2 linked regions of the Arabidopsis thaliana genome follow. The protein of the gene in region 1 interacts with the protein of each later gene in a pairwise test. Each region holds a gene or a part of one and is shown on either strand. Other genes may lie near its edges.

Region 1 (4,038 bases):
AGCTGTGAAGTCACAACAACAAGTCAAGAGGGGTGACCTCTATTTCTTAATTTGTCACACTCAAAAAAGTGACCACCACCATAAACTTTTCTTCTTGGTGACTCATCAATGCTAACGTAAGCCAATAGATCAGCATATTCATTTCATAATCTATTCAGAATTATAGTGATGTAAGTTAGTAAGCAAAAAAACAAAGAAATAATAATAATATCAAATTCTTCCACTTGCTAAACAAAACCACCGGAATTTTCGACGAACATCCATAGCGAGATTGTTGCGCAAGCAAGTGCCAAGTGGTGAGTGGGTGACCCTTATCAATAATATTATTTTCTTTGCGTAAGTATATTTTTGTTTTTGGCAACTACATTTTGATTTTCATTAAAACATCATCAACTGCGCCACCCTCTTTTTTTTCTTAACTTGCTTTATTTAATTTTTGTTTTTCCACGAAGATAAAATGAAAATAACTAAATCATTGCTATAATCAAAAACTCAAAAGATTAGATCTATATGTAGTTTTGGGTACATTACGTTGCAATTATTCTTTACATTACTTATAATATTTTTTCAAGAGCATTGCCATTGACTTACGGTGAGAATCTGTAATAAACACAATGATATTATAATTAATAAAATTATTTTCATCAACAACAATCAAAATCTATTTGTATTAGGTAAAGAGAATTTTTTTATTGTGAATTATTTTAAGATTATGGAGACTAATGGGCCAACAAACATGAACTATAAAATAAAATGATTGATTATGATTCAACATTCTACAATAATACTATAAGATATCTACTACACTTGTCACGAGTGACTATTACTTTTTGATTTAATATAGATTAACCCAAAACTTATGTACACGATTGATTGAATTAATGAATTGAAAAAGAACATAATTTGATGATCTTAATAATTAAGGGTTCTTACAAGAACGATTTTCCCCTAACATTCTGGAGTATATTATATGTACAAAAATCACGATCATAAATATCTCCAGAAAACTCTACAAAAATTAAAATAATTTCAAATCTAATATTCCAACTTTTAAGATTCCAGATTCTGTTACAAAAGGAATCGAATCAAAGATCTTCCCGGAGAAAAGGATGAGCAAGAAGCTGCGGCGCCGTCCATCGCTTACTCGAATCTTTACGGAGACAACACTCAACGAAGCTCCTAAACTCTTCAGAACATCCCTCCGGCGCTCGCGGCGGTTCTCCAAAACACACCGCGCACATCAACGTCGCCCAATCAGGTCTCTGTCCCGGCGGAAGCAAAGGAAAATGACCAACGAGAAGCTCAAGCATCATCAATCCGAAACTCCAGATATCTCCGGCGTAGATATCAGAGCTTCCACCGGAAGATTCCGAATCAAACCTCTCCGGACTCATATAAGCACAAGTACCAACATACGAATTACACGAATCTAATGATCGGACTAAGATCTTACTAACTCCGAAATCAGCGATTTTAACTTCGTTTTTCGAATTGAGAAGAAGATTCGCCGGTTTGATATCACGATGAACGATCTTAAGAGCGTGTAAATAGCTTAATCCTTTTAAGATCTGTTTAGCGAATCCGGCGAGTTTTTGCTCCGTTACACCGCCGCGTAGTGATTCTAGGGTTCCGCCGTCCATATACTCCATTAGAATCGATACTTCACCGACGACAGGTTTCTCGAAGATTCCGTGACACTTAACGACGTACGGTGAATCTGTACGGCGGAGAATCTCCATCTCTCGCATCAACTGTCTTGTGAAAATCGGATCCATGTCGCCGTTAACTGTTTTCAAAGCGTAGATCTCCGATGTGGTTTTATGACGGACTTTGTAAACAATCCCGCCGTTTCCGCATCCGAGAACGTTGAGTTTCTCGAGATCACAAGCGGAGATTCCGTTACAGCCAGCGACGGTGGTGGTGGTGGCTGAGGAGGAAGAGGTGGAGAAGCGGCGGTCGGAGATTGGAGGAAGAGGAAGACGGAGATTTAGCTGACGACGTTCACGTACTAAAGCCATGGAATAGAGAGAAGAAGAAGAGAGAGTGATGATGATGATGATGAAAGAAGAAATAGATAGAAGCTTGAGATTTTATATGAGTTTCAAGTCTTTTACAGTGTGAGGAGACAACGAGGAAGGTGAAGATGACCTAATTATCCTTCTTTTTCCTTATTTAGTTTTATTCTTATCTTAAAATGGATTTTTTTTTTCTTTTTTTCCTCCTATATAATATCGTAAAAAATGCAACTTGTGTGAGTGTTTGATTACGCACGTGGTTAATTGCATCAGACTGTAAATTTGTTCACATTATATAATATATCATGGAAAATGACTAATCCTAATCGTAGTACAACGATAAGGTATCTAAAAGTTATTGGAATTGAAAGATTTGGGCGGCTTTGGTTTTAACTATAGTGTAAGAAAAAACGGTAACTAATCTAGTAGTTATACACTAATAAATGATTTGTTGCCGACTATTAATAAATGAGATTGCTTTAGAAATGAAAAGTGTGAAGGTTCGATGAACGAAGAGGAGGCTAAAGGACGAGGAAGTTAATGACTAAATGAGGTAATGAGAAGGACCAAAGAGGAGGATTAAACATTTTGGTAGGCCAACGTGGAAAAGCTTCTAACAGCCATCTGTTTGATTTCTAAGTATGAGGCCATCGTATTCAAATGTTTGGCAACTTTTGTAATCTTTTATTATATTTGATAGTATGTTGTAAGAAGATTCAGATAAGATCTTTGAATTCAGGACACATACGTTTATAGTATTTTCTTATAGCTTTAGCCTTTATGCGTTATGCATGTATCATGTGTGTATTTATGCACATGCCTTATAGACATAGCTCCACAAAATTTTGAAATCAGAATCTAACCATACTTGTAGAAGAAAAAAAAATCTAACCATACAGGATTTTGTATAGTTTTTTTTAATGAATTAAAGAAAGTTTTAAATTACAATCTTTAACTACACAAAGTTTAAGAGCTCAAATTATATCTGTGTGGTATATAACCTTAAGTTTACGGTTTGGATTATATATTTTAAATTGAAATTAAAATTTTGTGTGATTCAAACAAAGTTTAATTTTGTGGGGTTGTTAAAGATTTGAATTTTTGAATATTTAGTTGATGTTTTTTTTGCCATATATATGTAGCATTTAGCATGTGTCATGTGTCTATTTATTGAGCACATGCTTAATGATGTTTAATTACAAAATTGTGTGTGTTTTTAATTTAAAAATTATTAACCAGACATTTGTTCCACACATGTCGACACATAATTATAGCATCAGGCCCAGGGTACGTACAATGGAGCATTCCTGGCTCCAGGAAGTTGCCTCTCAATCTCAGTAATCGTATTGCACCTTTTGGCCATTTGTACAACACTCACTGTGTGGAGCCGTTGTGAAGAAAATTAATTATTGGGCTTATATGAGGCTTTATAACAGATTAACATTTGGGCTTTTCTTCATAAATGGGCTTCAGAGTTTGTTGCATTAGTGACTGGCCCATCCCTCGGTTGCTTTGTCCTTCGTTGTTGTGCTCTGTTTTCTCTTCAGACATAGACTTACAAGATAGTGGGCCTGATGTGCTCCTACTTCGATTTGTTTGGTTCAACAAAAAAGTTTCTTTGGATTTATTTTCAATTGGGTTGATTTACAACCATTATTAGAGTGGGCTTTTATAACATCTGATTCACTTTTGCTACTTCACTATAATTCGATAAAAAAAAATGTTAATCATCATGACATGGAGAATTGGAGATTATTCCAATTACGATTGAGATTTATGATGTTTTAGAATAAAAAAAAGTATGAACGAAGTCAAATATTACAACTGAATTGAGGTATATTATTTTGGTGAAATTGAGTAGATTTAGTTATTTAGTACTTATGAAATTTCCTTGATATTTTCTGTTTGTAACCGTTCAATATATTAGATATTTCATGAGTTTTAAATAAATCTAAAGGCAGTTTAGAATTGATCCCAAAGTTGGAACTTAATATGGCGAACAATATCAATCTAGTAGAGATGT
Region 2 (4,523 bases), on another chromosome or scaffold:
TGAAATTACGTTTGATCTATCATGCAGTTGGTTTGATCCATTTAATTCGCTGCAACGGTAGCATGTAGGTGTAATAGAGTGGATATATGAAGAAAAATAAGCATTAGTATTTAGTATACTATGTTATTTCCATCTACTCTTTCACAATTTTTTTTGTTTCAGTAAGATTGATTCTCTAATGTTATGTGTATTTTTTTATTTATAATAAGTGACATGTAGCCAAATTATTTTGCTTCACTTTAAATAATATTCAATATTTTTTCATGTAAAACTATTAACTATTTTCAAAATCAACCTTACAATAAATGCTTAGTCCTATTACTTTTGTTTTGAAAATTAATAGAATGTAGGTGTAAAATAGATAATATACATGTATAAATTTTTTAAATATCACTTATTAAAAAAGGATGAAGTATTACGCTTATATTTAGATTTAAAAAAAAAAAACTAGAGAACTAATAAGATTTTTGGTAAAATATATTCTGGTATTAAGTGTTTTTTTAGTGAAAAGGAGATTGATATACACGCGCCAATTTACTGGTATTGATATATACTGGGCCAGGCCCATTTTGGGGTGAGCAGCAGATCCAACTATCTGACAAAAGAAAGAAAAAGAAGTTCTCCACCACCTGACATTTTCTCATTCTGATTCTGCAAATCTAATTGGGATTTGGATTTCAGAGGAAAACAAAATGTGGAATGGGGACTCTTCAAAAATGACAGTGACACTTATTTATAAAAACAAAAGTCTGGTTTCATTGGAACCAAATCGAAGCTTGAAATTATTAAAAAAAGATCCAAAGGCAGTGTTACAAATACAAACTCTTAATGTTCAGACAAAACATCCCCAGAAGACAACAACAACAACAACAACAAAAAGGAAAGCGTCAAAGCCAAATATGAGACACGTGCTTATTCAAAAAAAATCCAAATATAAGACAAATTCTTGTTCTTTTGCATATTCACTGCAACAGAATCTGAGATTGCAGACCCAAAAATTGGCAGGAATGTTCTTGAAGAAGTCTTCTTTTCATCTATCTCCTCAGGGTGTGAAGAATGTACTCAGCGTAAAGATCCCTGTGAATGATTTCAAACATCAAGATTTGCTTAAAAGAAAAGCAAATTATGTAAAAAAGGTAAAAAGAAAAAAAAGTTTACATTGAGTACTGAATGGCTTCAATAGCAGGACCAGGTTGTAGAAAATCATTCACTGCAACTTCCTTGTTCTCATTCTTCTTGTCTGTTATATTTTGGTTAAAGATAGCAAAAAAGAAATGGTTTTGTTTCCTAATCAAGTATTAAAATAGGTTTTAAGGATACAGTCTTCAAAGAATCGACGGATTTCAGAAAGACGATGAGGAGGAAGTTCATTGATGTTAGTGATGTGCTTATACTCAGGATCATCAACACAAACTGCAATGATCTTGTCATCTTTTTCACCCTTTATTTCAACCAAAACCCCAAAGAATTAGCTACAATGGTTACACAAACTTGAAGCACAAGGAAACATGAAAAACTAAAGCTTAGGATGTTACCTGGTCAATCATAGGCATTAAACCAATAGCTCGGGCGCGAAGAAAACAACCCGGAAGCACAGGCTCCTGTACATAATCAACTTTGATAAGAAATTATTTCAGCCATTTCATTTTCTTTTGGTGAATGTTGTTAGAATTAGACTCAAACCTGCATGATAACTAAAACATCTATAGGGTCATTGTCTTCACATAGTGTGCGTGGGACAAACCCGTAGTTGTGAGGATACACAACCGAAGAATAAAGAATCCTATCAACCTGATAGACATATACAAACACTTACGATCATCATATATCCTCAGATCATTCTGTTTTTTCAAGATTTGATATCTTTTTACCTTGATGAGACCTGTTTTTTTGTCAAGTTCATATTTGACTTTGCTCCCCTTTGAGATCTCAATAACCTAATTTCATCCAAAAAAGACAAATGATTAACTCTTTTTCGATCGGATTGTCACATCATCAAGCATAAAGACTTTACCACATTGAAAATCACTGGAGCTCCAGGTCCTGCACACATAGAACAATTTAGTTAAAAAGACTCTAATCAAACACACAGAATATCTTTAAAACAGTGATTATTACCGATTTCAAGATCATGCCATGGATGTGCAGCAACCGATCTCTTAGACAAAGATGAGAGAATCCTCTCGTTTAAACGTGGAGTAGGGTTCTGAAGCTTCTTCTGAGGTTGACTCGTTTTCACTTCTTCTCCATTCATCTAATAAAACAGAGCAAAACAGAACCAAACGTTAGAATCTTGTTAGTCAATTTTCATGACTTCACGTCTAAATCAATATAGAATCTTTTCACTATTGATGCTGATAACACGATCCATCACTCAAAGATTTAACATCAGATTCTACTAGTACGATAAACATCAATCATCTTCAAGATCGAAGTTAACAAAATCTACATAATTCAGCTAAACACTAACAATTTGTATCGAATTTGTTCATTTCTCGATAGATCTTCCGTTGGATACAAAATCCAGAGGATCAAACATCAATACGCAACAAAAGTTGAGATCAAGAACCTTCAAAAAAAAAAGTCGTACCTTAGAATCGTTTGAAGAACAGAACAATCTTGCGGAAAGTGTGGAGAAAGAAAAGTGACGATGATGAGAAAACAGTAAAGCGCGTGTTCTTCAATTGCTACCCATAATAGTATTTATAGAAAGCGAGAAAAACGGATTAAGATTTAATTAATTGGTAAGTAAGTTATTAATTAAATATGAATTTATAATCACCGTTCGATTTCTTATAACCTAGGGCCCACCGTAAAACACTAATCTCAGTCTCTTGAACGATTCTCATACACACACTTGGCACTAACGCTTTAACTATTTAAACTTTTACTGATGAAAAACAAAATGAAGAGGAAGCAAGAAAGCAAATTTTTTTGTAACGATGCCTATCAACAGAATTGCGATTGGAACGCCGGGGGAAGCTAGTCGTCCCGATGCGATTAGAGCAGCTTTCGCGGAGTTTTTCTCGATGGTTATATTCGTTTTCGCGGGTCAAGGCTCTGGAATGGCTTATGGAAAACTAACTGGAGATGGTCCAGCCACACCTGCCGGTCTTGTGGCCGCGTCTTTGTCTCATGCGTTTGCGTTGTTCGTTGCGGTTTCCGTTGGAGCTAACGTTTCAGGTGGTCATGTGAACCCGGCGGTTACATTTGGGGCTTTTATTGGTGGAAACATAACGTTGTTGAGAGCTATTCTTTATTGGATCGCTCAATTACTCGGAGCAGTCGTAGCTTGCTTGTTGCTCAAGGTAAGCACTGGCGGGATGGAAACGGCTGCGTTTTCGCTATCATATGGAGTGACGCCCTGGAACGCAGTCGTTTTCGAGATTGTGATGACGTTTGGGTTAGTTTACACGGTTTACGCTACTGCCGTGGATCCCAAGAAAGGTGATATTGGAATCATTGCGCCTTTGGCGATTGGGTTAATCGTTGGAGCTAACATTCTGGTTGGTGGTGCTTTCGACGGTGCATCGATGAACCCCGCGGTTTCATTTGGTCCGGCCGTGGTTAGCTGGATTTGGACGAATCATTGGGTCTATTGGGTTGGTCCTTTTATCGGTGCAGCCATTGCAGCTATTGTTTATGATACTATCTTTATCGGTAGTAATGGACATGAACCACTTCCTTCTAATGATTTCTAAGTTAGGTTTTTTTTTCTTGTGTCTTGTGAAACAAGAAATCTACAGTTGTAGCCTACTATGGGTATTTTGAGGGAGATATGTGTTTTTAATTGTTTTTCACTACTTTTGTTGTTTTAAGTAATTAATAAATTGATTGGTGGAAAATTTACACTAATTTAAATTAGATTAAACTATTATGTGGGGTATACGTAGTATTCTGCCATACTTAAGGAATTCATGTACAAACGAATTTTATTGGAGGCATATTCTTGAGATTATGCTTCCATGGTGAAAACTGAAAATATATCAAACATAATGGGACCCGCCATTATCAATAATACTATGAAGATATATATATGGTTGGTTGGTCCATGCACGTTCTTTATTTTATTTTTGGCCCAAGCACGTTCTGATATGTGAATCTTAGGCTAATGATTTTTTAGTCGATTTAAGTATTGAACAACACACACAAAAAAAGGAATTCAATAAACGGTACTTCGGTGTCCCGGTGTTTGCTCTAAACGCGTTTCCAAGTTTCTTGCACGTTCAAGCAAAGTGCGATGACGAGATTTGATGATACTCACGATGTATATTCCTCAATAACAATAATTGTGATTAGTATTATAAGTTTATATATATAACTCATCGTGGATTTAGAAGAGTTATGTCAATGGTCGATTGGTCGTATGTTTTATTGTTTTTACCACATGGAAAACTAACTATTTTATGTATCAAGAATTGTAAATAACATGACATTTGCAGATAACAACTATTTGGGAGAATTCTAAAATTCGCTCGATGATTTAATTTTAAAGATCTACACTAATTGTGCTACGTTGAGCA

Evidence for each region.
Region 2: the proteins of MKK9 (region 1) and PPa5 interact in a two-hybrid assay, tested with the Arabidopsis thaliana proteins (one large-scale study listed by BioGRID).

The regions. Positions count from the first base shown.
Region 1 is NC_003070.9:27,638,334-27,642,371, forward strand, and holds MKK9 (MAP kinase kinase 9), read right to left. Parts: upstream 2,311-4,038; 5' UTR 2,019-2,310; coding exon 1,086-2,018; 3' UTR 758-1,085; downstream 1-757. UniProt on the Arabidopsis thaliana protein: MKK9-MPK3/MPK6 module phosphorylates and activates EIN3, leading to the promotion of EIN3-mediated transcription in ethylene signaling. Autophosphorylates and also phosphorylates MPK3 and MPK6.
Region 2 is NC_003075.7:624,270-628,792, reverse strand, and holds PPa5 (pyrophosphorylase 5), read right to left. Parts: upstream 2,725-4,523; 5' UTR 2,591-2,724; intron 2,574-2,590; exon of another isoform or gene 2,471-2,573; intron 2,255-2,470; coding exon 2,119-2,254; intron 2,044-2,118; coding exon 2,015-2,043; intron 1,938-2,014; coding exon 1,872-1,937; intron 1,792-1,871; coding exon 1,684-1,791; intron 1,602-1,683; coding exon 1,536-1,601; intron 1,442-1,535; coding exon 1,321-1,441; intron 1,241-1,320; coding exon 1,159-1,240; intron 1,078-1,158; coding exon 1,035-1,077; 3' UTR 723-1,034; downstream 1-722. Other genes in the region: TIP1;3 (tonoplast intrinsic protein 1;3), read left to right, coding at 2,943-3,701.